Linked DNA regions of Tribolium castaneum. The protein of the gene in region 2 interacts with the protein of the main gene of each other region in a biochemical or structural test. Links are inferred from orthologs where the notes say so. Each region holds a gene or a part of one and is shown on either strand. Other genes may lie near its edges. The genes, in order: mr, ubiquitin-conjugating enzyme E2 S, Roc2 and Uba1.

The links.
Region 1: the proteins of ubiquitin-conjugating enzyme E2 S (region 2) and mr form a complex in vitro, tested with the Homo sapiens proteins (3 studies listed by BioGRID and IntAct). The link is inferred for Tribolium castaneum from reciprocal best matches to the Homo sapiens genes UBE2S and ANAPC2.
Region 3: the proteins of ubiquitin-conjugating enzyme E2 S (region 2) and Roc2 form a complex in vitro, tested with the Homo sapiens proteins (3 studies listed by BioGRID). The link is inferred for Tribolium castaneum from reciprocal best matches to the Homo sapiens genes UBE2S and RNF7.
Region 4: of the proteins of ubiquitin-conjugating enzyme E2 S (region 2) and Uba1, one has a biochemical effect on the other in vitro, tested with the Homo sapiens proteins (8 studies listed by BioGRID, with this or other methods). The link is inferred for Tribolium castaneum from reciprocal best matches to the Homo sapiens genes UBE2S and UBA1.

What each region holds. Positions count from the first base shown.
Region 1 is NC_087394.1:29,188,251-29,194,662, forward strand, and holds mr (anaphase-promoting complex subunit 2), read left to right. Parts: upstream 1-2,312; 5' UTR 2,313-2,407; coding exon 2,408-3,000; intron 3,001-3,047; coding exon 3,048-3,186; intron 3,187-3,232; coding exon 3,233-3,386; intron 3,387-3,432; coding exon 3,433-3,691; intron 3,692-3,885; coding exon 3,886-4,040; intron 4,041-4,553; coding exon 4,554-5,093; intron 5,094-5,142; coding exon 5,143-5,381; intron 5,382-5,522; coding exon 5,523-5,723; 3' UTR 5,724-5,742; downstream 5,743-6,412. UniProt on the Homo sapiens protein: Together with the RING-H2 protein ANAPC11, constitutes the catalytic component of the anaphase promoting complex/cyclosome (APC/C), a cell cycle-regulated E3 ubiquitin ligase that controls progression through mitosis and the G1 phase of the cell cycle.
Region 2 is NC_087395.1:19,971,334-19,976,770, reverse strand, and holds ubiquitin-conjugating enzyme E2 S, read left to right. Parts: upstream 1-2,071; 5' UTR 2,072-2,365; intron 2,366-2,424; coding exon 2,425-2,578; intron 2,579-2,627; coding exon 2,628-2,815; intron 2,816-2,863; coding exon 2,864-2,992; intron 2,993-3,041; coding exon 3,042-3,173; 3' UTR 3,174-3,539; downstream 3,540-5,437. UniProt on the Homo sapiens protein: Accepts ubiquitin from the E1 complex and catalyzes its covalent attachment to other proteins. Catalyzes 'Lys-11'-linked polyubiquitination.
Region 3 is NC_087397.1:2,862,728-2,867,533, forward strand, and holds Roc2 (RING-box protein 2), read left to right. Parts: upstream 1-2,402; 5' UTR 2,403-2,514; coding exon 2,515-2,859; 3' UTR 2,860-3,106; downstream 3,107-4,806. Other genes in the region: Slik (STE20-like serine/threonine-protein kinase), read left to right, coding at 267-434; dual specificity mitogen-activated protein kinase kinase 7, read left to right, coding at 3,333-3,396, 3,452-3,690, 3,746-3,973, 4,023-4,202, 4,250-4,464. UniProt on the Homo sapiens protein: Catalytic component of multiple cullin-5-RING E3 ubiquitin-protein ligase complexes (ECS complexes), which mediate the ubiquitination and subsequent proteasomal degradation of target proteins.
Region 4 is NC_087394.1:32,759,063-32,765,640, forward strand, and holds the end of Uba1 (ubiquitin-like modifier-activating enzyme 1), read left to right. Parts: coding exon 1-471; intron 472-2,896; coding exon 2,897-3,598; intron 3,599-3,648; coding exon 3,649-3,848; intron 3,849-4,212; coding exon 4,213-4,995; intron 4,996-5,097; coding exon 5,098-5,874; 3' UTR 5,875-6,214; downstream 6,215-6,578. UniProt on the Homo sapiens protein: Catalyzes the first step in ubiquitin conjugation to mark cellular proteins for degradation through the ubiquitin-proteasome system.

The DNA.
Region 1 (6,412 bases), on a different chromosome or scaffold from region 2:
CCTTCATATCGCTTCCACGTTGGCTACCGTTTGTAGCATTAAAAAAAATAATAATAATATAAATGAAAAAAAAAAAAAGGTTTATTTGCATTAATTTTGAACAAGCCACTTTCATTCATTGAAATTAAAGGCAAAATTACGTGGCAATAAATTATTTGAGTGTTTTATTTTATTTATAGTTACTGTATTTAAAATGTGTCACTCAAAATATCACTTTTCAATACCGCATTTAAAGATTTTAATTGCAATTAAGTTTTATGAAATTATTGGTTTGTGAAATAAATAAATACGACACAGCAATAAAATACACCTACCTTCATATCGCTTCCACGTTGGCTACCGTTTGTAGCATTAAAAAAAATAATAATAAAAATGAAACCAAAAAAAAATGTTTATTTGCATTAAATTTTGAGCAAGCCACTTTCATTCATTGAAATTAAAGACAAAATTATTACGTGGCAATTAATTATTTGAGTGTTTGATTATAATTTTATTTACTGTATTTAAAATGTGTCACTCAAACGCGATCACTAGTCACCGAATTGAAAATTTAAACCGGAAAATTTAGATTTGTTTGAGCACACGTCCGTTCGCGACAACGGCAAGTAACAAACTGAATAAATTGAAGGAAACCGCACAATACACAATAATTTAAATAAACCGACCCGACTCACCTCGCCTCCTGCTTCCCGCTCACGATCTGACCCGTGCCATTGCTCGCTGTCGACTGAAGCGCTCTCGCCGCCTGCGCCGCACACCTAACCTCGGGACACGTCACGGATGTGACGTCACTTAAGTCTAAAACAAGTCATTACCAGAAATATTCACTGGAAAAATTCGTCAAATTTAGAAACATTCATACACAGAATTATTTAAAATAGAACAGCATTGATCTAAAAAAATTAATTATGACAAATGTATTTGCCTATAAACGTCTAAAATTATAAAAGTTTCGCATGCAGTCAATGGAAAAATAAAAATGCATGTTTTTATTTAAACAGAAACTGGCAATGTGAAATTTTGGTGCGAAAATTAGTGGTATCGCAATGCGTATAGCAACATTGTTTGTTTGTTTCGTTTTGTTGAAAATTCGGTAGGTTTCAAAAGTAGGGTTATGTTGTCACCCGAAAATGACAAAATTTACACTTTTATGAATTTTGTCTCCATCTCTGCCCTTTCAGAGCGTTATGATAGGATATTTAGGGTCGAAATCTCTACCTTTATTATGTGCTATTGCCAGATAAGGACAAAAGTTCAGAAAGTAGGGTTAGGGTGTATTATGCTCTCTTCTGAAGTGTTAAATTTTAACTTTAATGTTTTTTGTGTGCTTTCCTGCTCTTCTAGAGCGCTATTAATTATTATTGAACATGTTTAAGGACAGACAAATCTACCTTGAGTCAACGACATAAATTTCAGTGAGATTTATTGAAAAATGCACTTCTCGTGTCAACCTTTTCATGAAAAAGGGTGTTTAAACGTTTATAAAGGGTATGTTAACGTGTGTTGTTAACTTTACCACGTAATAAAACATAAAGTATAACTTGGTAATTTTTTACTTTAACTACTTCTGGATTTTCAAGCTGAAACTTACACCAAACGATTCCTCTGAGTGCCCTGATGACCGTACACTATGAATTTTCTTGTGCAAATTGAAAATTACATTAGAAAAATAATTTTTATTTTCACTCACTTTTTACTTGAATCGCCATTTTTGTTGATTTTAATTTGAGTTTATTTTTTATAATATCACGTTAATTTTTATTATTATAGTGGATCAAAGTGTCGTCTTTAGGTTAGACTATTGCCTACTATCGGTTAGGAACAACATGATCTCCAAAAATATAACGTAGTAATGAGCTCCAGAAGGTTTACGTAGATAGGTGCGTTTTTCCCAAAAGTGAGTTTTTTGAGATCGAACCGCAAGTGAGTCACACTGCGAGGAGACTCCCATAGACAGAAGTTGCAAACATAAGGTGCCAGACCGGTGCCAGTTTGGCTGATTGCAAGTATGTCTTTATCATCGATTCGGTGACGACTATTAGTTTCGTAAACTTAATGGATTTAATAAATATCTTTAACATTAAATGTGATCGTGTCATGTTGGGTAAAATTCTTCCATCTGTGCTGTCTGTGGATCCACCTTTTCAAATACAATTAAGAAATTTTCATAATAATTGTATTTGATAAGGTATTGGCATCATTTTGACGTGAGCAAAAATTAAAAAAATATAAAGTAATCGGAATTATTTTAAATTTGCGCCATTTTTAGTACGTGATGATGCGGCTAGATGGCTTCAGCTAGGAATTCATTGCCAACCATTATGTTCCGCTTCTATAAAAGTGTTATTCTAGGAACAGAACCTAAAAGTTTGTCAGTTTTTTACGTTCAGCAATTATTATTTTTACAATGAATAATCAAAACCTGGACTTAAAAAGTGCGTGGATTACGATTAAAGAAGCTTTTCCAATCTTAGAAAGTCCTTCAAAGATCCCTGATAATGATTTCGACTCTGCCCCTTTTGAGGCAATCAGCATTATCAAAAGGCTCAATTTAACACAGCAAATTCAGGATTTGGTCATAATTAAAATAGAAGAACGTTTGAGGAAGGAAATAGTCCCAGATTTTTGGTCCCACTTTAAGAAAACCGAGAACGAGGCGGCAGTTTTTCACGAGTTCTACAGTGTGGTTAAATTTTTGTTTCACAATTATGTGCAGCTCGATTTAATTATTAACAAGTTGATACTGTTGAGAGAAGCAAGCAATTTCACTAAACCAGTGTACAATCAAACTTGCCTGCATGAAGCTTTAAAATTAATCGTTAGGGCCGTCTTGTTATCCCAACTCCCCATTGATCATGAATGGATGATAGTAAATTTTTACGAAACGGCGCTTAAAATGCAGGACCCGGAGGAAGAAAATAGCACAAGTGGGGAGTGTGTTGTGTGCATGCAAGAGGAATTTTCCTGTTCTTGTCGTGAAATGTTTGAAGAAACTAATAAGTAAATAGTTTTGTTTTTTATTTTTTTACTCAAATATTTGTGTCTAGGAAATTGGGCAAGATGACTTTATTGGAACCGTTAGTTGGCCAGGCTCTCACTGATTTAATTTATAGTTACATTCAGACACATATCCAGAAAATCTGTAAAGACAATTTTGATAATTCGCACATTGAGAGTCTAGAAAAGGTAGAAATCAGTCGTTTCTTGAATCGATTATACGAATTATTTTCAGTGGCTTCAAACGGTTGTTATTTCATGGTTGAAAAAAATTTACTTTCATAATTCGGCAGTCAAGGCCATGGATGAGTTTGACAAAAAACTAATCAATTATTTATACAACACTTACACCAAAATACGAATAGATCAGTTATTTAACATCATAATTGGTAAAAATTATTGTTTTTGTGGCAGTCTGTCATCAAATATTTTCAGAATATCCTGATTCTCTTCCGGCCCTTGACGACCTTCGACTATGCCTTCCAAAAACCGACCTAAAACCCCACTTAACTCGGTCGTTGCAAAAAGCAATTGAAACAAGATTATTACATCCAGGAGTAAGCACGTTTGACGTTCTGACGGCTTACGTGGCTACAATTCGGTCATTGCGGATTTTGGACCCCTGTGGACTGCTTCTAGAGACAATTACTCAACCGGTTCATCAGTATTTAAGGAGTCGGGAAGACACAATAAGGTTTAATAATTAAAAAAAAATGGTCTAGTTGGCATATTTGACGTTTAAGTGTCAAATTTTCATAGCTAACTGGAATTTCGGAAAGACAATAAATAGTGTAGTTGGCCTTGAATGACATTTAAGTGTCAAATTTCCACAATTAAGGGGCACTTTGTGTACAATAATTCCGAAATAGGGCGAAATTTTTAATACAGGTGTGTGGTGGGTAGTTTGACTGAAGAGGGCCCAAATGATTTAGCTGAAGAGCTGGTCCGGGGCGAAGCCGTGCAAGTGGACGAGAACATTTCGGTCGATGAGGGGGTTGAAGACTGGGAAACGTGGACCCCAGATCCGGTAGATGTCGTCCCCAGTAAGTGTCTTTTTATCGCTTTGAGGGAAATCGACGTTGGCATTTCCATAGTTTTGAAACAGAGAATAGTCACTTTTGACAAATGATTTTTTCTTCTTACGGTGACAGTTTATTTAAATTTAATAATTCTAGTGCTTAGTCACCAACCAGCAAACTAAATTATAAAAAAATATTTATTTTTGAGTTATTTGTTACAAAAAAATTGTACTTATTAACTTGTTTAGGTGCTAATTTCCTATATTTGCAATTCATGTCCTCCCCTCCTCTCCCCTCGGTCGTGCTGTAAACCACCTGCTTATGTGAAAAATTGCTTTTTTAAACGATTTATTAAATAACGACAACTGATTTTTTCCATTTACATTTTACATGATTATTTATTGTCCTCAAGAAGCCCAAAAAGTTGACGAAACGTAAGCAACAATTATAAACCAAATAAGCTTTGTCTGCCTTCCCAATAATAATTAGACTTATCCCACGTATAATATAAATAACTAATTCCCTCGAAAAATTAAGGCAAATCTTCGGGACTTCCCCGCACTTCTGACATCATCTCAATGCTTGTCAACGTCTACGGCAGTAAGGAGCTGTTCGTCAACGAATACCGCACCTTATTAGCCGATCGTCTTTTGTCGCAATACTCCTGCGACACCGAGAAAGAAATTCGTTATCTTGAACTCCTGAAGTTGCGCTTTGGTGACTCCCAACTCCACTTTTGCGAAGTTATGTTGAAAGATATCGCCGATTCGAAGCGAATCAATCAACATATTCAGCAAGACTTGAGTTATTCAGACGATGATATTCCCATGTCTGCCATGATCCTAAGCGCACAGTTTTGGCCAGCGTTCAAGGACGAGAAGCTTGAACTCCACGAAAAATTGGTGAAACAGATGGAGAGTTACACTGGTGCTTTTGAAACTTTAAAAGGTAGCAGAACCCTGTGTTGGAAAAATCATTTAGGAATTGTGGATCTTGAAATTGAATTGGCGGATAGGACTTTGAATTTGTCGGTTTCACCGGTGCATGCGACGATTTTGATGCACTTCCAAGATCAGAGTGAGTCAAAAAGATCAAGATTTTAAGCGACTTATTTTTTCGTTTCAAGATACTTGGTCTTTGGAAGCTTTGAGTAAAGTAATGCACGTTCCGTCGACAATTTTACGGCGCAAACTGAGTTTCTGGCAATCACACGGGATCATAACTGAGCCCGAACCCGACGTTTTTTATCTACAGGAGGAACAGGAAAATAACGAAAATAATATACAGGATGATATTGTTGTTGAAGATTTTGAATCAGAGTCGGCGATGGCCAGCGCTCAAGACCAACGCGAAGAGGAATTACAGGTAAAAAATCTATACAAATTGGCTATAACTTTGAAATTACGTTGGTAATAAAGTCAGTTGTCAATGCTGCCAACCTAATTTCAGTATCATAGGTCAATCTGTACTGAAGTTTATGGGAAAACATGTTATTTTTTTTAACAGACTTTCTGGTCGTACATTTTGGGTATGTTGATGAATTTGGACACTTTACCTTTGGAGAGAATCCACCAAATGTTGAAAATGTTCGCATTCCAAGGACCCACAATTGAGTGCAATTTGCAGGAACTGAAAGTGTTTTTAGATAGGAAAGTTAGAGAGCATCAGTTGATTTATTCAAACGGACTGTATAGATTGCCTAAATAGCTTTATTTTATATTTATAAGTCTTTGCATTTTGCTACCTACGTATTCCTATGATCCTAGTCCATAACTCAATTTAAAATTTTATAATTTTTAGAGGTTTTTGTATTCAACCAACTATACGACGGAAAGCAGTTGGATTGCCTATTTTTATGAAAGTTAGCAAAATTTTGGACAGAAAATGTTTAAGACAATGAGTGTATATCGCGGACCCCAATTATCTTATGCCCCAAATATATTTGGGGGGATAATTTTTTTTATTAAAATAAGAAAAAGAGCGCGCAAAGTATAAAAAATAGCAAAAAATACTCGTTTTACAACGGTTTTGGCGCTTACGGCTCATTTTCTAACTTGGCATTGTGCGCCAAATCAACTCTAAAATTGTTTTTTTAATATAAAAAAGTGTGCTTTTTGTAGGTAACCAATTATACAAGGTGATATTGTCCATTGCCTGTCTTAGTTAAAAATTTTAGCAAAGTTTAATAATTTAAAACCGGTGACTAAAACCAAAAAGTGTATTAAGGTCACAAGAAAGCATTTAGTTACCTCTTTACTTACAAGAAAAATACCTATAAATAGTAAATACCACTGCAGTTTGTTTCGTTTGCAAAAGTGGCGATTTTTTTAATCTCAGAAAAATGAAATTTGTACAATTTTGTGCAAGTTCATAATATTAATAAATAATTTATTAAA
Region 2 (5,437 bases):
AAACTGATGTATTTATACAGACTGATCCCGAAATACTGTGTCTGTTAGCAATCTGAATTTAAATTTTAAAGGATACCAATAGTGTACACTTTCAGGTAGCAATTCAATAATTTAATCTGATGCCAACATACTCAGTTTCTCTGGATCATTGTGTATATTTAGACAATGTATTTACACATATTATTACATCTGAGTATGTTTATGAAGAACAATTCGAGTTAAATTAATTTTGCCTATACATTCCAGCACGTTATTATTTTTTCAATAAATTTTTATTGGAAAGACTTTGTTTCATTTTATTAAGGGATGTTAAATGTTTTTGTGCTATTGCAACTGTTACAGATGCTTTTTTATTAAAATGTTTCGTAACAGTGCATGAGTACAGAAACATTTAACATTTATAATTCTTTAAATTTGGAAAATAAATAAAATGTCCTGTTTGAATTTCCCGCTATTATCGAATTAGTTCGTTCTCCCCGGGTTAGGTGGCGCTTTCGCGAAAAAACGAGGGGTAGACAGAGAGATTCGCTTCTTCCTCTCTCTTATTCTATGGTTTTTTATTGTTCTGACGCGATCACTGGATCACACAGCCACATTTGGGACCAAAATAAACCTCTGATTGGTGCGTCGGTCATGACGTCACATCATGGCCGAAATTTGTTTTGATTTTCAAAAATTTTACGAATTTAATCCACCGAAGCGAAAGCGAGGGAGTAATTAAAAAACTTTGCATTTGACGAATTAAGCAAATTGTTAAACATGACGGTGCCAAGAAATCGAAATTAATTTGGTAAATTGTACCCTCTCTCTCTTATTCTATGATTGTACCGAAAAAAGTGCGAAAACCAAGGTTAGTATAGACATGGTTGCGTTGTGACTCTGTGAGGAGTGGGAGAACCGCCATATTGCTTCGTCAGCCAGATGGCTAACGTATTATTGCATTGTTTACATGCGATTTATATCGTGTTTTGGGAAAATTTACATTGTAAAACAATGTTGGTGACTTTTATGAAGATTTCAGTTGTAAAACCATTTAAAAACATGAGCGACAAAAAAGAAAGGTGATAGGGATTCTAAAAATAATTGAAAAGTGGCCAAAAAATCGGAAAACTGCATGATAGTTTACAGTAACGAATTGTTTTTTAAAAATATTATTTTTTATTTAAACACTCACCTCCATTATATGACACCTATGGTATGTAAACTAGAAATCCGGCTGTGTGCTTTTTGAGTTTTCATATTTTTTTAAGGTTAAATGTTGTTTATTTACTTGATAATATAGACTGTAAATCTGGTTGCCCATCAGTCATCCATAAAAATCGACAATGTTATTTAGGTTACAATAAATTCATCGCTTCGTTCAAATGTTAAAAATGTTTCTGTATACTTATTCTTATCTCTCTCAGATCTTTTGATAACAGCAGTTTCATTTTCTTTGCATCCACTTCCTATAGTGTAATTCACTAGTGTAAATTGTTCTTTGAACAATTGTGCTATTTTAAACAGCGACCTAAAGTCCCTTTGAATTTGGATCAAACTGACTTCAAGGAAGAAACGGATTACTTTTGATTAGAGGTTGAGAGGCAAATAGTTTTTACCGCAATAAAAGTGTGGCCACATATCTTTGGAATGGCGTATATTAAAATTTTCATTGTCCTGCAATTATAATTTTCTCCAAGTCACACAAAGTAGCAAAAAATTACGTATGAAATTCAAAAGTGCCATCTCAGTGACGTTTTCGCGCGCCGTCTATTGATTAGTTTTAGGAGTTACGGCACAACTATGTCTTTAAACCATTGGCGAGAACCGATTTTTTAACCGTCTAGTCCGTTTGTTAACTCGCCAGAGGGCGCTTTTGAAACAAAATATGTTCTTTAAGTGCAATCTTACCTTTTGTTGGGCGTTTTTTTCACTTTTTTTACCCCCTGTAGAATGTGGTTAATGCAAAGTTTTAATTTTTTCCTAAGATTAGGCGGTTTAGTGGCTAAAATCAACTTTTAAATGTTCTAACTAAACTGTCGCCAGGTGTCGCTTCAAAAAATTTCTAACCGCTTTTTGCGCTAATTTTAACGATTTTTTGGTTCATCCGTCGCTTTTTTCGTCGCTGAATGTGTGTATGCGTGGTGCAGGGCGAAAGAAATTTTTTTTTGAGTTTCATTTGGCGTTTTTTCGGTGTGCCGTCCCCGGGTCCGAGATTAAACGCATGTGATTGGTGGCAAAATTCAAATTTCGTTGTTCATCTGTTTTCTCTAGAACGCCAAGTTTGATGTTTGTTATCACGATTGTCAGGTTGTTTTAGCGTCGTGAAATCGCCAATTTAGTCGATTTCTTGTGATATTTTTAATTAAGGGCAAGTGCCGGAGCAGTGAGTCGTCGTATTTCGTCTCGTGGAGTCGTTTTTGGTACGTTTTTTTCCGTTTTCAGATGTCAAACAATGTGGAGAATCTTTCGCCCCAGATCATCCGTCGAGTGGTCAAAGAAATGGAAGATCTAGTCTCAAATCCTCCCGAAGGGATCAAAGTTCAAATAAACGACGAAGATGTGACCGATATTCAGGCGTACATTGACGGTCCTGCAGGTTAGTGGCCCCTCTGTCCTGGAAACGTTGTGCAAGCTTCCTGTTGCAGGGACGCCGTATATGGGGGGCGTTTTCAAGGTGAAGCTCACTCTGGGCAAGGGGTTCCCTCAGGAGCCGCCCAAGGCCTTCTTTCTGACGAAGATTTTCCACCCAAATGTGGCCGCCAATGGCGAGATTTGCGTCAACACGTTAAAAAAGGATTGGAAGTCAGATCTCGGAATTAAACACATATTACTGGTAGGTGTTCCGGTTTTGAGTGTTTTTGAGGTTATTGCGCTTTTTCAGACCATTAAATGCCTCCTCATTGTGCCCAACGCCGAATCAGCCCTCAATGAAGAAGCCGGGAAACTGCTCCTCGAACAGTACGAAGACTACTCACAGCGGGCCAAAATGATGACGGAAATTCACGCTCAGGTGAATTTTAGCCAAAATCAGTGAATAGATCTATAATTTGGTTTTTTAGCCCCAAAAAATTTCAAAAGGTTGCAGCGGGGAGGGCCCTCTGGCTAAGAAGCACGCCAGTGATAAGAGTAAACTAACAGCGGAGAAAAAGAAGATACTTAAAGACAAGAAACGGACGTTGAAGCGTTTATGAAAACCGTTACTGCCATTCTTGTTTATTTCTTTGTTTTAACTATTTTTTTTTAATTATTAAATTATATTTTTTGAGTATGCAAGAATGATTTATTAATTTATATGTGTGCTACAGTTTGGTTGAGACCTTTTCATTTCGTGTTATTTTGAATGTAGTGCATGCACAAAGTGCAATTTATTCATGGTTCCAATCAAAAAATAAATGTTAGGCTCAGTTGGTTTTCCACCAGTCAATTACAAAGTGTCTGCAACAAATATTGAAACAAACCGGAACATTGTTGGCCTCAACATCAAACATAGCTGAGCCTTAGGATGTATTTGTGGTAGAGAATTGTGAATTATTTATTAATAAAAACTGAAAATCAAATTATTGTTTTAGTGAGAGACCAAATCCATTTGAAAAATAATTTTATAGACCATAATACTACATATTTGTTTACACATTTATGACTGAATGTTTAGTTACATCATATAGCATGAATGACAAAGAGAAGTAGTTTATCCTCAGACGCCAACCGTACCCACAATTATGTACATATCTTTTTTATAACAAAATAGATTAATACTTTATTTCCTGTATCTCTTTCAAACTTTAGAACTCATTTAACTTGAAAATTACTCCATAAGAACGATGTTCGATTAGAACCAACGATCGGTTATAACTGTTATAAGTTACAACAAATAAATTCTCTAGTCCCTTGGGTGCTCGTAATAACCGAGTTCCACTGTATTCCGATGATGGATATAGGCGATGTAGTATAAAAAGGAATTAATTTCGTTTCTTTCATTGTATTGGCCCCGAAATGAACGAACACTTGTGAATGCCACCAAATTATAAGTGTAAGAAAAGTTAACATACTTAACTTAAGTCAATCTTGGTTTTGCTATTTGTGTGGCAAAGCTGTCTCGAAATCCGTTTGTAGCTAAATAAAATTTGTCCATTTCCTTGGGTAAAATATCGAGATGTGGCTCGAGTGGTACTAAAACTTGTTCATTTTTAATTTTGAGAAGACAAATGTTTGATCCATCTTTGGCCATGTATCCTTTCGAAACTGTTCTTCTGGAAAATCAAATATGTAATAAATAGGTAACATTTAAATTGTTTAAAAAATTCGCAAGTGATAAAATAAGGTAGCTCTGAGGACCAAATCGAAGAAAAAAAATTCATCATCGATGTCTTCCTTTACTAAATCCAGTGCAGGACTTTTAAATAAATTATCCAAACAGGTGGAAAAATAAAATTTAAGTCCAAAATCGGAGTGAATGACTACCATCTCAATTTTTGGTTTATCCAAATAAAATTTTATTGTGTTTGATTGATATAATGTTTGCGGTGAGATTGTCCCATGGAGAAGTCCACAAAAATTAATTTTGAAGGTGAGATATTATTTGTAAGGATACTACCTGGGAAGGGTTGGTGCTTAGAAAAAGTATAGAAAGTATTAGTTTTATTTTTGTTAGAATTATCTGCGAAAAACAGTATTGAAGAAGAAATTACCTACACATTTTTCTAAAATATATTTTTTATAATGGAAGTGTTTCTGGAAGATTTCTTACATGAACACGACAAGAAATATGAAATTAAAAAAGTTTCATTCGATCTCAAAAAACGCTAACTCTTTGGTCGCCGTAAGTTTTTTTGTATTCTTTCGTCTTGTGCAGATGTAAATAGAAATAAAGAAAGTTTTCAGCTTGTTTAACGGTCCCATAAAGTGTCTTTGCTCTCAGATTTATGCTTCTTTATAACGTTTTTCACTATTCATTTGATCCAAGTATTATAAAAAATAACACATGGATATTTATTGTGGGCACAATATGCTTAAAAATTATTGAAACTCAACTTTAACAACTGTGTTTTCTAAAATTGCAAATTTTGAACATTCCCACCACTCACGTTTTTTAGTGATTTTCTAATTATAATATTGGCGCATTAAGAAAGAAATGGCCCTTCGATAAGTCATGGTGGTGGTTATACCAAAGGTTTGTTTTCGTGAAAAATGTTAAAACCGTTGGATTATAATTAGTGCCGTTGTTTTGTTAATAAAATTGTTTGGAAACAATTGAAGAAATTTGAAGAAACGTTTGATGTTTCGAAAAAGGCGGGAGGTTAGTGGCACAGGTATTAGGTGGTTCGAATAAAAATGAAGTAGATGCTAATACTAATACTACAGTATAGTGGAGTAAATACTTCAGGGGAAGTAAATGCTACTTTTTTTGAAGTAAATACTTTACTTCCGAGAACAAAAGACAGTTCAAAGTACTTTC
Region 3 (4,806 bases), on a different chromosome or scaffold from region 2:
ACTAAGCACATCGTCATCAACCGATCAGGATATTCAATTCCCACTAACTACACCTAACACTCCCACATTTAGGGACTCGCCACCCACTTGGGGGCGGGTGCGGTCTTGGACCCACGGTGGCGGTAGTAGTAGCAGAGCCAGTGTTTTCCTTCCTTCGAATCCCGATGATGATTCTGCTGTTTAGATTGTGTTTTCGTTTGCTTGCTTGTACTAACTAACACCCGTTGTCTCCTCGTTTTTGTGTCGTAAATTGTGTAATTGTTTAGAAATTGGAAGAGGCGTTTGCCCAGCAGTTGGAAGAACAGGAAAGGGTTTATGGGCCGATCAGTACTCCTCTGGCTTTGCCTCCAGATTTGCCCGATCTGAGCCAGGAGAGTTGCAAGATCGGGATGGGGTCGACTAGGAGCAGTTTATCGTCGGTTTCGGAGGGATAGAACGCTTTAGGAAACAGTATACTCCAAAATGTGCCTCTGCAGATCCAGAGCGAGCATTGATTACCCTAACTCGTGTATATACTTATTACACAGACTGAATAATTAAGAAAATCGTATGAAACATTTTTTTCGTTTTGTTTCTTTTACTAGAGAGATTGAGGTGACCTGATAAGCTACTTAAATTTGGAAATTTCGAAAGGGAGAATTTTTTTCAGGTTGTTTACTGAAAACAAATAAACTATTGTTAGCTTGCTTGCTAAAACTAGACTAGTTTTACGTCGATCCTTTTTATTAAATTAAGATTAGAGGTGATTGAGGATTTAAAATTGTGTGCATTTATTAAAACCAGACTGACAGGTTACACTTGTTATTTTGTGAAATAATTAAGTTAGATTGTACTAATAGTTCAAAAGATTGTTATATCATGTTCGTAAGTAAGTTTTCTTTGTATTGAGGTATTATCTAACAATAAATACTGATTAATTATTATTTAACATAATAGATTGTATTGGGATTGTTTTTTGTTTACGCTTGCACTACTCCAGTCTGATGTATAAATACTATTATAGTCCATGTTATTTAAATACTGAAATTTTTATCAGCTGTATTCTAAGGTGTACATACAAATTCCATCTAACTTAAGTTTATTAGGACAGTGTGATAAGATTTTTATCGTCTTTTAGTTCTTTACTAACGTTTGCCACTATCATGCTGTTCTGTATTATTATGATGTACAGTCAGTGTATTTTATTTTTATGTGCATATTATTTACCAGTAACTATTATATTCAAATAAATAATATAAATAGAATTCGATTTAATCCTTCCACCTCAACTTTTCTGGGACATACTGTATATTAAAAAAAAGTAAGGTTAGGGTACGGTTTACCAACAAAAACGAAAATGGTTTTATTCGAACAAATAAGGCTGAAAAACTGCCGATTGTGTCACACAAAGCCCGGCCAACACGACATAAAAACAGACAAAAAATTAGTAAAAGAAATTTACGAATGCACAAAAGTGAAGGTGAAAAAAACTTGCCCAATTTGTAATTTATTAAAGAACTTTTTTGTAGGTAAATGATAAATCTATGGAGCTTTTGCCGCGTTCTGTGTGTGAGGAGTGCAAAAAAACCATAAAATGTTTTTCGCTTTACAAGCAACACATTCGCAAAGTGGATCAGTGTTTCAGAAGGATTTTAAAAAATTGCGAAGCCAAAAGTAAGGACACTAAAGAAGAAATCTTCAAGTGTGAACAATGTCCAGGGGAGTTCAGTGATCATGATTTATTTAAGAATCATTTAAATTCACACCAGATAAGTGTTAGTCAGGAGGAAATTAAAGCAGAAGTTTCGTGTCCGAAATGTGATAACAAGTTTTGTAACTTGGAGGAGTATGGGTCTCACAACTGTTTCACAGAAGAAGAAAATTCGCAACATGATAGTTTTGAAAATAAAATAGAAACAGAGGATTTGGAGGCGTTTAAAAAAGCCAAATTCGTTTGTAGTTGGAAGAATTGTAAAAAAATCCTCAGTTCCGCCTACACATTAAAAACGCATGAGCTCAAACATCAGGGGAAACGCTCGTTTTTGTGTGTAACTTGTGGTAACAATTATTTCTATTAACGCCCCACAAGTAAAAAATTATTACAGGCAAAGGCTTCATCACAAAAAATTCATTAACCTGCCACGAAAAAATACACCTGGAAGTGAAAGGTTACGTGTGTAAGCTCTGTAATCTTGGGTTTTCTGTGCGAAGTAATCTGAGGGCACATGAAAAAAAGCATCATGAAGGAGTCAGATTTTACTGCTCGCAGTGTTCCAGAGCATTTGCTTCAAAGTGCAGTTTGCAGAGGCACGAAAGAATTCACACAGGAATCAAGGAATTCAAGTGCCAGTCCTGCCCTTCGGCGTTCTATACCAAAAAAGAGCTCCTGAAGCACCAAAGGTACCATCAGGTGGGTATTTTTGTAATTTAGCGTGTTCTTGTTGGTGGCACTGTTACTAACGCGTCAAACGTCATCGCAAATATTGAGGTTACAATTAGGATAATAAATAACGCCCTTGGTTGATAACTGCCACCATGTCGAGTTCTATTGCCGACGAGAACGAGAACACCGAGCGCCTCGACGGCGAGGGAGCCAAGAGCGAGAAAATGTTCACTTTGAAAAAATGGAACGCTGTTGCAATGTGGAGCTGGGACGTGGAATGCGACACTTGTGCGATTTGTCGCGTGCAAGTGATGGACGCGTGTTTGCGGTGCCAAGCTGAGAGCAAAAAAGACTCGTACGGGAAGCAGGATTGCGTGGTGGTGTGGGGGGAGTGCAACCACTCGTTTCACTATTGTTGCATGTCTTTGTGGGTCAAGCAAAATAATCGCTGCCCGTTGTGTCAGCAAGAATGGTCCATCCAGAGGATGGGCAAATAATGATTTCGTGTACTTTTCAGGGTTTGCGCTTACATAAGTGTGACGAATGCTTTAAAACATTTTTCGAACGGCACCACCTGATCATCCATTTGAGGAGCCACACTGGGGAGAGGCCTTATGTATGCCAGTTTCCCAATTGTGGCAAGTCTTTCACGGAAAGTCAAAAACTAAAGAGGCATCATAATGCCAAACATGCCCAAACATAATTAATTGTATTTCCTTTTATTAATAAAATTGTAAAACAGAACTGGTTGTTTTATTTGTGGGAACTTTTGATTTCTGATGAGTTCGGTAGCAACTGTGTCAGGTTGGCCAACCGATGGTGTTTTTCCTTTGGCAGCTAAAAGTTACAGGTTATAGCTGTCATTGGTTTTGACTTTGTAGTAAGTATAATTATGTCTAGTCAAGAACAGAAAATAAATAATTTATTAGATCGATTAAGACAAGGAAACAATCCTCCACGCAATCTGCAAATGTCCGGTCAAAGTATCGCCAGAAATAATGGTGATGTTCCTCACAGTCGCCCGAGTCTCCCATGTAAGTTGTTTAATAAGTTAAGGGGGAAAATAAGAGCGATCTTTGGTTTTCCCAGTGGGCATGGTCCCCAGCCGGCCACGAGATTTATCTTTCACGCCAAGAAGCAGTGAAAATTTAGAGACTGATAGGAAGTTGAAAGAAATCATGAAAATTAGTGGTAACCTAACAATCAACAACAAACTATACGAAACTGATATAAAAGATATGGAAAGACTTGAAGAACTGGGCTTCGGGACCTGCGGTCACGTTATCAAAATGAGACACAAACTAAGTGGCGAAATCATAGCCGTCAAAGTAAACATCAAGGTCCAAAAATTAACACAATTTATTTCACGGGCTTCCATTTCAGCAAATGCGACGTTCGGGCAACAACGACGAAAACAAAAGGATTATTATGGACATTGAAGTGGTCCTAAAGTCACACGACTGTAAATATATAGTTCAATGTTTAGGCTGTTTTATAACCGATTCGGAAGTCTGGATATGCATGGAGCTCATGACTACGTGCTTTGATAAGTTACTAAAACGGTTAGGTAAACCGATACCTGAAGAAATCCTGGGTAAAGTTACAGTTGCTGTAAGTACACGTCTTCCTTTTCAAGCACCACGCTCACTGAACGTTACAGACTGTAGAGGCTTTATCGTATTTAAAAGATAAGCACGGTGTGATACATAGGGATGTAAAACCTTCAAATATTTTGATCGACACTAAAGGCCATATAAAATTGTGTGATTTTGGTATTAGTGGACGTTTGGTGGACTCAATGGCAAAAACTAGGAGCGCTGGGTGTGCTGCATATTTAGCTGTGAGTTTTTCCCCCACATTTATTTTTTTTCTAATTTTTTAATTTAGCCGGAACGCATTGAACCCGACCCTAAAAATCCCGACTATGACATACGTGCCGACGTTTGGTCATTAGGCATAACTCTAGTTGAATTAGCAACGGGGGTTTTCCCATATCCCAACTGTACAACCGATTTTGAAGTCCTAACCAAAGTGCTAGGACAAGATCCGCCAAGCTTACCTGAGACTTTTAGTCCGGAATTTAGGGAATTTGTTAAATTTTGGTAAGTATGGCACTGTGGGAGCCTAAAATAGGAGGCGACACACTGCTTTTATGCAAAGTAAGAATTTACGTAATAATTTACATGATTTGCTGATATTTCACGAAATATTTTTTGTGATTTGACTTCAATGAACGCGTTTTTCGCAAAATGAATCTCTAATAATATTAATAATAATAATCTTCAACACAAGATATACAGAAAATTGTAGTTAGGTGTAAAGAAATAAAGATATTTTCGAAAACAATATACATAATAATTTAAGACAATTTGTAACCGGGGTGATCTGTGGCTGTCGCCTCCTATTTAATTAACATTGAATCGTTAAGAGCCGGTCTTTAAACG
Region 4 (6,578 bases), on a different chromosome or scaffold from region 2:
GCGACGTGCTGGTCTCAGGCCTGGGCGGGCTCGGCGTCGAGGTGGCCAAGAACGTCATCCTCGGCGGGGTCAAGTCCGTCACGTTGCATGACGAAGCCGTTTGCAGCGTCGCCGACCTCTCGTCGCAGTTCTACTTCACCGAAGCCGACGTGGGCAAGAACAGGGCCGAGGTCTGCTGCAAGCAGCTGGCGGAGCTCAACACCTACGTCCCCACGAAGGCCTACACGGGCCCCCTGACGCCGGACTTCATCCGCAAGTTCCGAGTCGTTGTCCTGACCAATAGTTGTCTCGCTGAGCAGATGCAAATCAGCGAAATCACACATGCCAGTAACATTGCGCTCATTGTGGCCGATACGAGGGGGCTCTTTGCCCAAGTGTTCTGTGATTTCGGGGATGCTTTCACGGTCGTTGACACCAACGGGGAGTCGCCGGTCTCGGCGATGATCGCTGATATTTCCACCGATAAAGAAGGTGGGTACAAAGAACCTAATGGAAGGCATTGTTACACAATGACTAATCTTGACGTTGTACGTCGGGTTATATTGGCAATTATTGTGCAATCAACCTGATCATGTGGCTAAAATTAATCCGATGTTAGAAGTTTGCCTTTGTTTTCCTTGCGATGTGCGAAGGTATGGAGTGAAAATCCCCAAAGGGCACTATATCAGTACTCAAATACCGTATGGTCAAATAAATCTGTCATCCTAATAAATTAAACATAATTCGAGACTATTCATAAAACCTAAAGCCATTTATTGGCTTACCAAAGTAGCAGTCGAATGGCATTAAACTTTGTGTAAATGTTGAGAAAATGTTGTAAAAAACATGTGATTTTATTAAAAATAGATGCTGTACTATCCCTTTTTTCCTCCTGTAAACTACCACTTGTGTGGAGGGTAGGAGGTTGATATTTTGAAGGTGAGCTGTATATTTATTAAAAAAATCTTTAGGTTTGTTAGTTAAATACCGGGTCAAGAAATAACCCACTATTGACTCACCCTGTACTTCAAACAATATCTTACCTAATAGAACAACTTGGTAAGATCAGCTAAAGAAGCACTGCAATCACAAAACTTCTATAATTTTATCTTGATGCAACTTAAATGATCTCCAAGCATTCAGTATTCAACTATTTTATTAAATAAAATAGCTTAAAATAGAGATTTTTTATTTTATTTTTAAACGAAACTTTTTTAAATTCATATTCGATACAGTTCTGAGTAATAATGACACCATTTCATACTAAGATTTATTTAAATGTAAGTCGTCTGAAAACTAGATCAAATATTTTTGATTGCAACTAAGAAAATTTCAGAAATTGATATTGTTGTTAAAGCATAAATTACATTATTGAAGCCACATTTTTTATGGAAACCAAAAGAAAACTCTGTATTTTTTTATTCGAAAATTGGTTTAAACACTTTTCCTTTTCCCATTCTCAGTACAGTAAAGCTTTGTCAAATTTTAGTATCGTAATCTAAAAAGTCTTATTTTGTCAATTTTTTTATGCTGTTGAAAAATTATTATGTCTGTTTTTAATGACCCAAATGTATCAGGACAAATCCAATTTAAATGTTCAATCTTATTTTTATCGATAAAGTGGGTAACACAATGTTAACATGAAAAAAATTAAAAATCTGGGTCTGGGTTAACTGAATTACACATGACACTCGATTTTTTTTTGTAAAATTTGCCTTTTGAGTCAATTGACAGGCAATTACAGGGTAATTCCATTTTTTACGAGATATAGCTCTCCAAATGTTAGATTTTTCGATTAAGTTTTTGGCAGATCATTTTTTCTTGAATTTAGTTAGCAGGAATGACACTAATTGATGATTTACGTTCAAAACAATTAATCAAAGTAGCAAATTTGACAATAAATTCGCCAATATTGGGAACAGAGGCGCAACATTTAAAAGAGTGTCTCAGGAAAAATATTAAAAATTAAAAGTTAAATTATCAGAAAAAAAATCTAAATTAATTTTTAATGTTAGCGGAACGTCTTTGTGGGCTTTTATCATCAAAAATCAACTATTTGGCTATTATTAATTATTATTATCTATTAGGTATAATTTCTTTTCTCTCGATATGTGATATGTTATTCACATTTGGATTATTAATGATCAAGAAAATTAATAGAGTAGTGAAGCAGCTTACTCGTAATACAGTTTTTATTTGATTATATTGGTTTCTGTTTTATTTCATTGCAAAAGCAGCTATTTAATGATCATTGTTGTAACGTCTATAAACAATGGGTTAATGAATTCGTACTATTTTTAGCTTTTCTACAATTGAAAAAAGATGAAATTTGCTCAAAGACCTCTAAAATTAAATTCTTTCAAATCACTAATTTTCTGTTTTTATTACATGTCATCAAAATACGTATAACAAAAAATGCAAATCAATGTTTTGTATAAAGAGTAGGTATTTGTCTACGCAATTCAAAATAACCATAATTGTGTAAATAAAGTGGTCTGCGTTATAAACATTTATTTTCGTCCTAAGCTAAAAACAAATCGGACATTGAGACAGATACCTTAAAAAAATAAAAGATTAGAAAAATGTTGCATCATTTTTTTAGCGCAATTCTGTCGTGAATCTCACTATCGAGAATTTCAATTGATTTTAGATACGTGTAAGGTAAAGGTCATGCGAAACAACGATGCCGTGTAACAAAACTTCTGTCCTTAATAAACATCGATTTAATGTAATGGATATTGTGGTTATAATTTCAATGCCTAAGTCAATACCACATCACATAAGTTTATTGTCGCCAAGTTGAAGATGTAAAATAAATTTAGTTTCCACTGCCATTAAATGTCATACTTTTATAATTTAATGGTCGAAATATGTTTGAAAATGGTGTTTTTTTCAATGATGTTTTTTTTTCTCAAAGGCATTGTGACCTGCATTGACGACACCCGCCATGGCATGGAAGACGGCGACCACGTCACATTTTCCGAAGTCCAAGGAATGACCGAACTGAACAATTGCAAGCCGATTAAAATCAAAGTGTTAGGCCCTTACACGTTCAGCATCGGCGATACGACCAACTTTTCGAAATACGAGCGTGGCGGTATTGCCACTCAAGTGAAAATGCCCAAAACCTTGTCGTTTAAATCACTCAAAGACTCGCTAAAATCGCCCGAATTTTTGATGACCGATTTCGCGAAATTCGATCATCCACAGCAGCTCCACGTGGCTTTTCAAGCGTTGCACAAATACGTCGAAAAGCACGGCCGTGTACCAAAACCGTGGAACAACGAAGACGCATCCGAATTTCTGTCCATTGCTAAATCTTTGGCCGTGGACGGCGGAAACGATACCGAAGTGAACACTAACTTGTTAGAAACGTTTGCGAAAGTGTGCGCGGGTGATTTGAATCCGATTAATGCGACTATCGGTGGTATCGTGGCGCAGGAAGTTATGAAAGCTTGTTCGGGGAAATTTCACCCGATTTATCAGTGGTTGTATTTCGATGCGATTGAATGTTTGCCCACGGAAGCTGGGGAAATTACCGAAGAGTCGGCGGCACCGAAAGGCACACGCTATGATGGACAAATTGCGGTCTTCGGAAGCGAATTCCAGAAGAAATTAGGTGCGTTTTTGTAATTTCTTGGCGAAAAGTTGCTAATTTATTTTTTGCAGGCGGTTTGAAATATTTCGTAGTAGGTGCTGGAGCGATCGGTTGCGAATTACTTAAAAATTTCGCTATGATGGGAATTGGTGGTGAAGGTGGACAAATCACCGTCACTGATATGGATCTTATTGAAAAATCTAATCTCAATCGACAGTTTTTGTTCAGACCACATGATGTTCAGCGTCCCAAATCTGGAACGGCAGCAAAGGTAAAATCATCTTATTGAAACAATTCCGAATTTAATGGTAAAAAACGATAAAAATGGACCGCACAGATGCGTAAACATTCAATTTCAAAGATTTTAAATAACGCGGTCAATTATCTTCGCTAGAGGTTTGTACTAGGTGAGACCATAACAGGCCAACTAAAATTCTCGGCAGTTTTAAATACTGTGATAAGCTGGTTTAATACGTAAAATTATCCGCAGAATTCACTGGAACAAACTGTTTGTCTCTACCACTTTTAGTTTTTAAGTTATTAAATTTTTAATGAGTAACCCGGCGCATCCACCATTTTTGAAGATGAAATTTAAAAATGTCTTTAAATAAAAAAAATCTTTATTTTTGCTACAGGTGATCAAGAAAATGAACCCGAGCATAAACATAGTCGCCCATGAAAATCGCGTGGGCCCCGAGTCTGAAAACATGTACGATGACACTTTCTTCGAGTCGTTAGACGGCGTAGCTAACGCTTTAGATAACGTTGACGCTCGTATCTACATGGACCGTCGATGTGTCTATTACCGAAAACCTCTACTAGAATCCGGAACCTTGGGTACAAAAGGCAACACCCAGGTCGTAGTGCCTTTCCTCACCGAATCCTACAGTTCGTCACAGGACCCTCCCGAGAAGAGCATCCCGATTTGTACCCTTAAAAATTTCCCCAACGCCATCGAACACACTCTCCAATGGGCTCGTGATAATTTCGAAGGCCTTTTCAGACAGAGTGCTGAAAACGCATCGCAATATCTCACCGATCCTGAATTTTTGGAACGTACTATTAAATTACCAGGAGTTCAACCGATTGAAGTGCTGGAATCGGTCAAGGCAGCTTTAGTTGATGATAGGCCAAAGAGTTTTGAAGACTGTGTAGTGTGGGCCCGCCATCATTGGGAGGAACAATATTCAAATCAGATCAAACAACTGCTTTTTAATTTCCCGCCGGATCAAAAAACCAGCACTGGACAGTTGTTCTGGTCGGGACCGAAGAGGTGTCCCGAACCACTCACATTCGATGTGAACAATACCTTGCATTTGGATTATGTTTTTGCAGCGGCTAATTTGAAAGCCGAGGTTTATGGAATACCGCAGAATAGGGATCGGGCTTACATCGCCGAAGTGGTGCAAAAAATTCACGTAAGCCAGCCACTTTAAGCTTTAAAGAAATAAATATGATTTTTTTTTATTAATATCCAATTAGACAATGTTTTATAATATTCTTATGATAATTAATTGCAGGTACCAGAGTTCGTCCCGAAATCTGGCGTCAAGATCGCCGTCACCGATTCGCAGATGGCAATGACGAACGGTTCAAGCGTCGACTTGGACCGCGTTGGCCAAATCAGAGAGGAATTACCTTCGGTCGCCGAACTGGGCAATCTTTGCCTCACTCCACTTGATTTCGAAAAGGACGACGACACAAACCTCCACATGGATTTCATAGTAGCGGCTTCGAATCTCCGAGCCGCCAACTACAAAATCCCTCCAGCCGATCGTCACAAATCCAAGCTGATCGCCGGCAAAATCATCCCAGCTATAGCGACAACAACCTCAGTCGTCGCCGGCCTCGTCTGTCTCGAGCTTTACAAATTAACGAGAAGTTTGAAATCGTTGACGCCGTTCAAGAACGGTTTCGTCAACTTGGCTCTGCCGTTCTTCGGGTTTTCGGAGCCCATTGCCGCCCCCAAGAACGAGTATTGCGGGAAGGAGTGGACGTTGTGGGACCGGTTTGAGGTGGATGGGGAGATGACTCTGAGCGAGTTTTTGGAGTACTTTAAAGAGAAGCACGGCTTGGAGATCACGATGTTGTCGCAGGGCGTGTGCATGCTGTACTCGTTCTTTATGGCCAAAGCGAAGGCGCAGGAACGCCTGGGGTTGCCCATGTCCGAGATTGTGAAGCGAGTGTCGAAGAAGAAGCTCGAACCGCACGTCAAGGCGCTAGTGTTTGAACTGTGTTGTAACGACGCTGACGGAAACGATGTCGAAGTTCCGTATGTTAAGTATAATCTACCTTGAATGGTTGCGTGTTGGCTGCATTCGTATTAGGGCATTTAATGACAGTTATTAGGTGTGCACTAAATTGAACTATTCTGGGTATTTGTCAAATTGTGATCTTGTAAATTATTTATATTTTTTGCAAGCATAACTAGAACACGTGTTCGGTAGGAATTTGTTATTACTTGCCCAGTGATTCTCACTTGATTTTCTATTATTTGTGTTATGGCGAGTGAATTCAATGAGCTAATGCAATATAATCGTACGTATGCTGATACTGGATACATTGTAGGTTCAGGATAGTGTTTATTTTCTTAAATATTTTGATGTGTGAAATTTAATAAATATGTTTTGAACATTACGAGCTCTCCTTATTTCTCCTTTTTTGTACAAAATTATAAATTAAAACTTACTGCAACTGCGTTGGAGTTGGTCATCCTGTATTTTAATTAAATTTCCTGCCATATGGCAGAAGGACGCTGCAAAATTGACCACCAGAAAGCGCAAAAGCCTCAACCTTAATCGTATGTGCAAATTATGCCAGGAAATACGAAATAAATCTTAAAAATCAGGATTTTTTAAACGCTCAAGGTCATTAAAGAGGCAGTGCACTCCGCACAGTTGGTATCCCTACACGCACTTGACGAAATGGTGGTGTATTTATTTTTGTTTTGTGAAATTAAACAATATAATATTTCGTGAAATTGAACTCATTCAAGTGATTT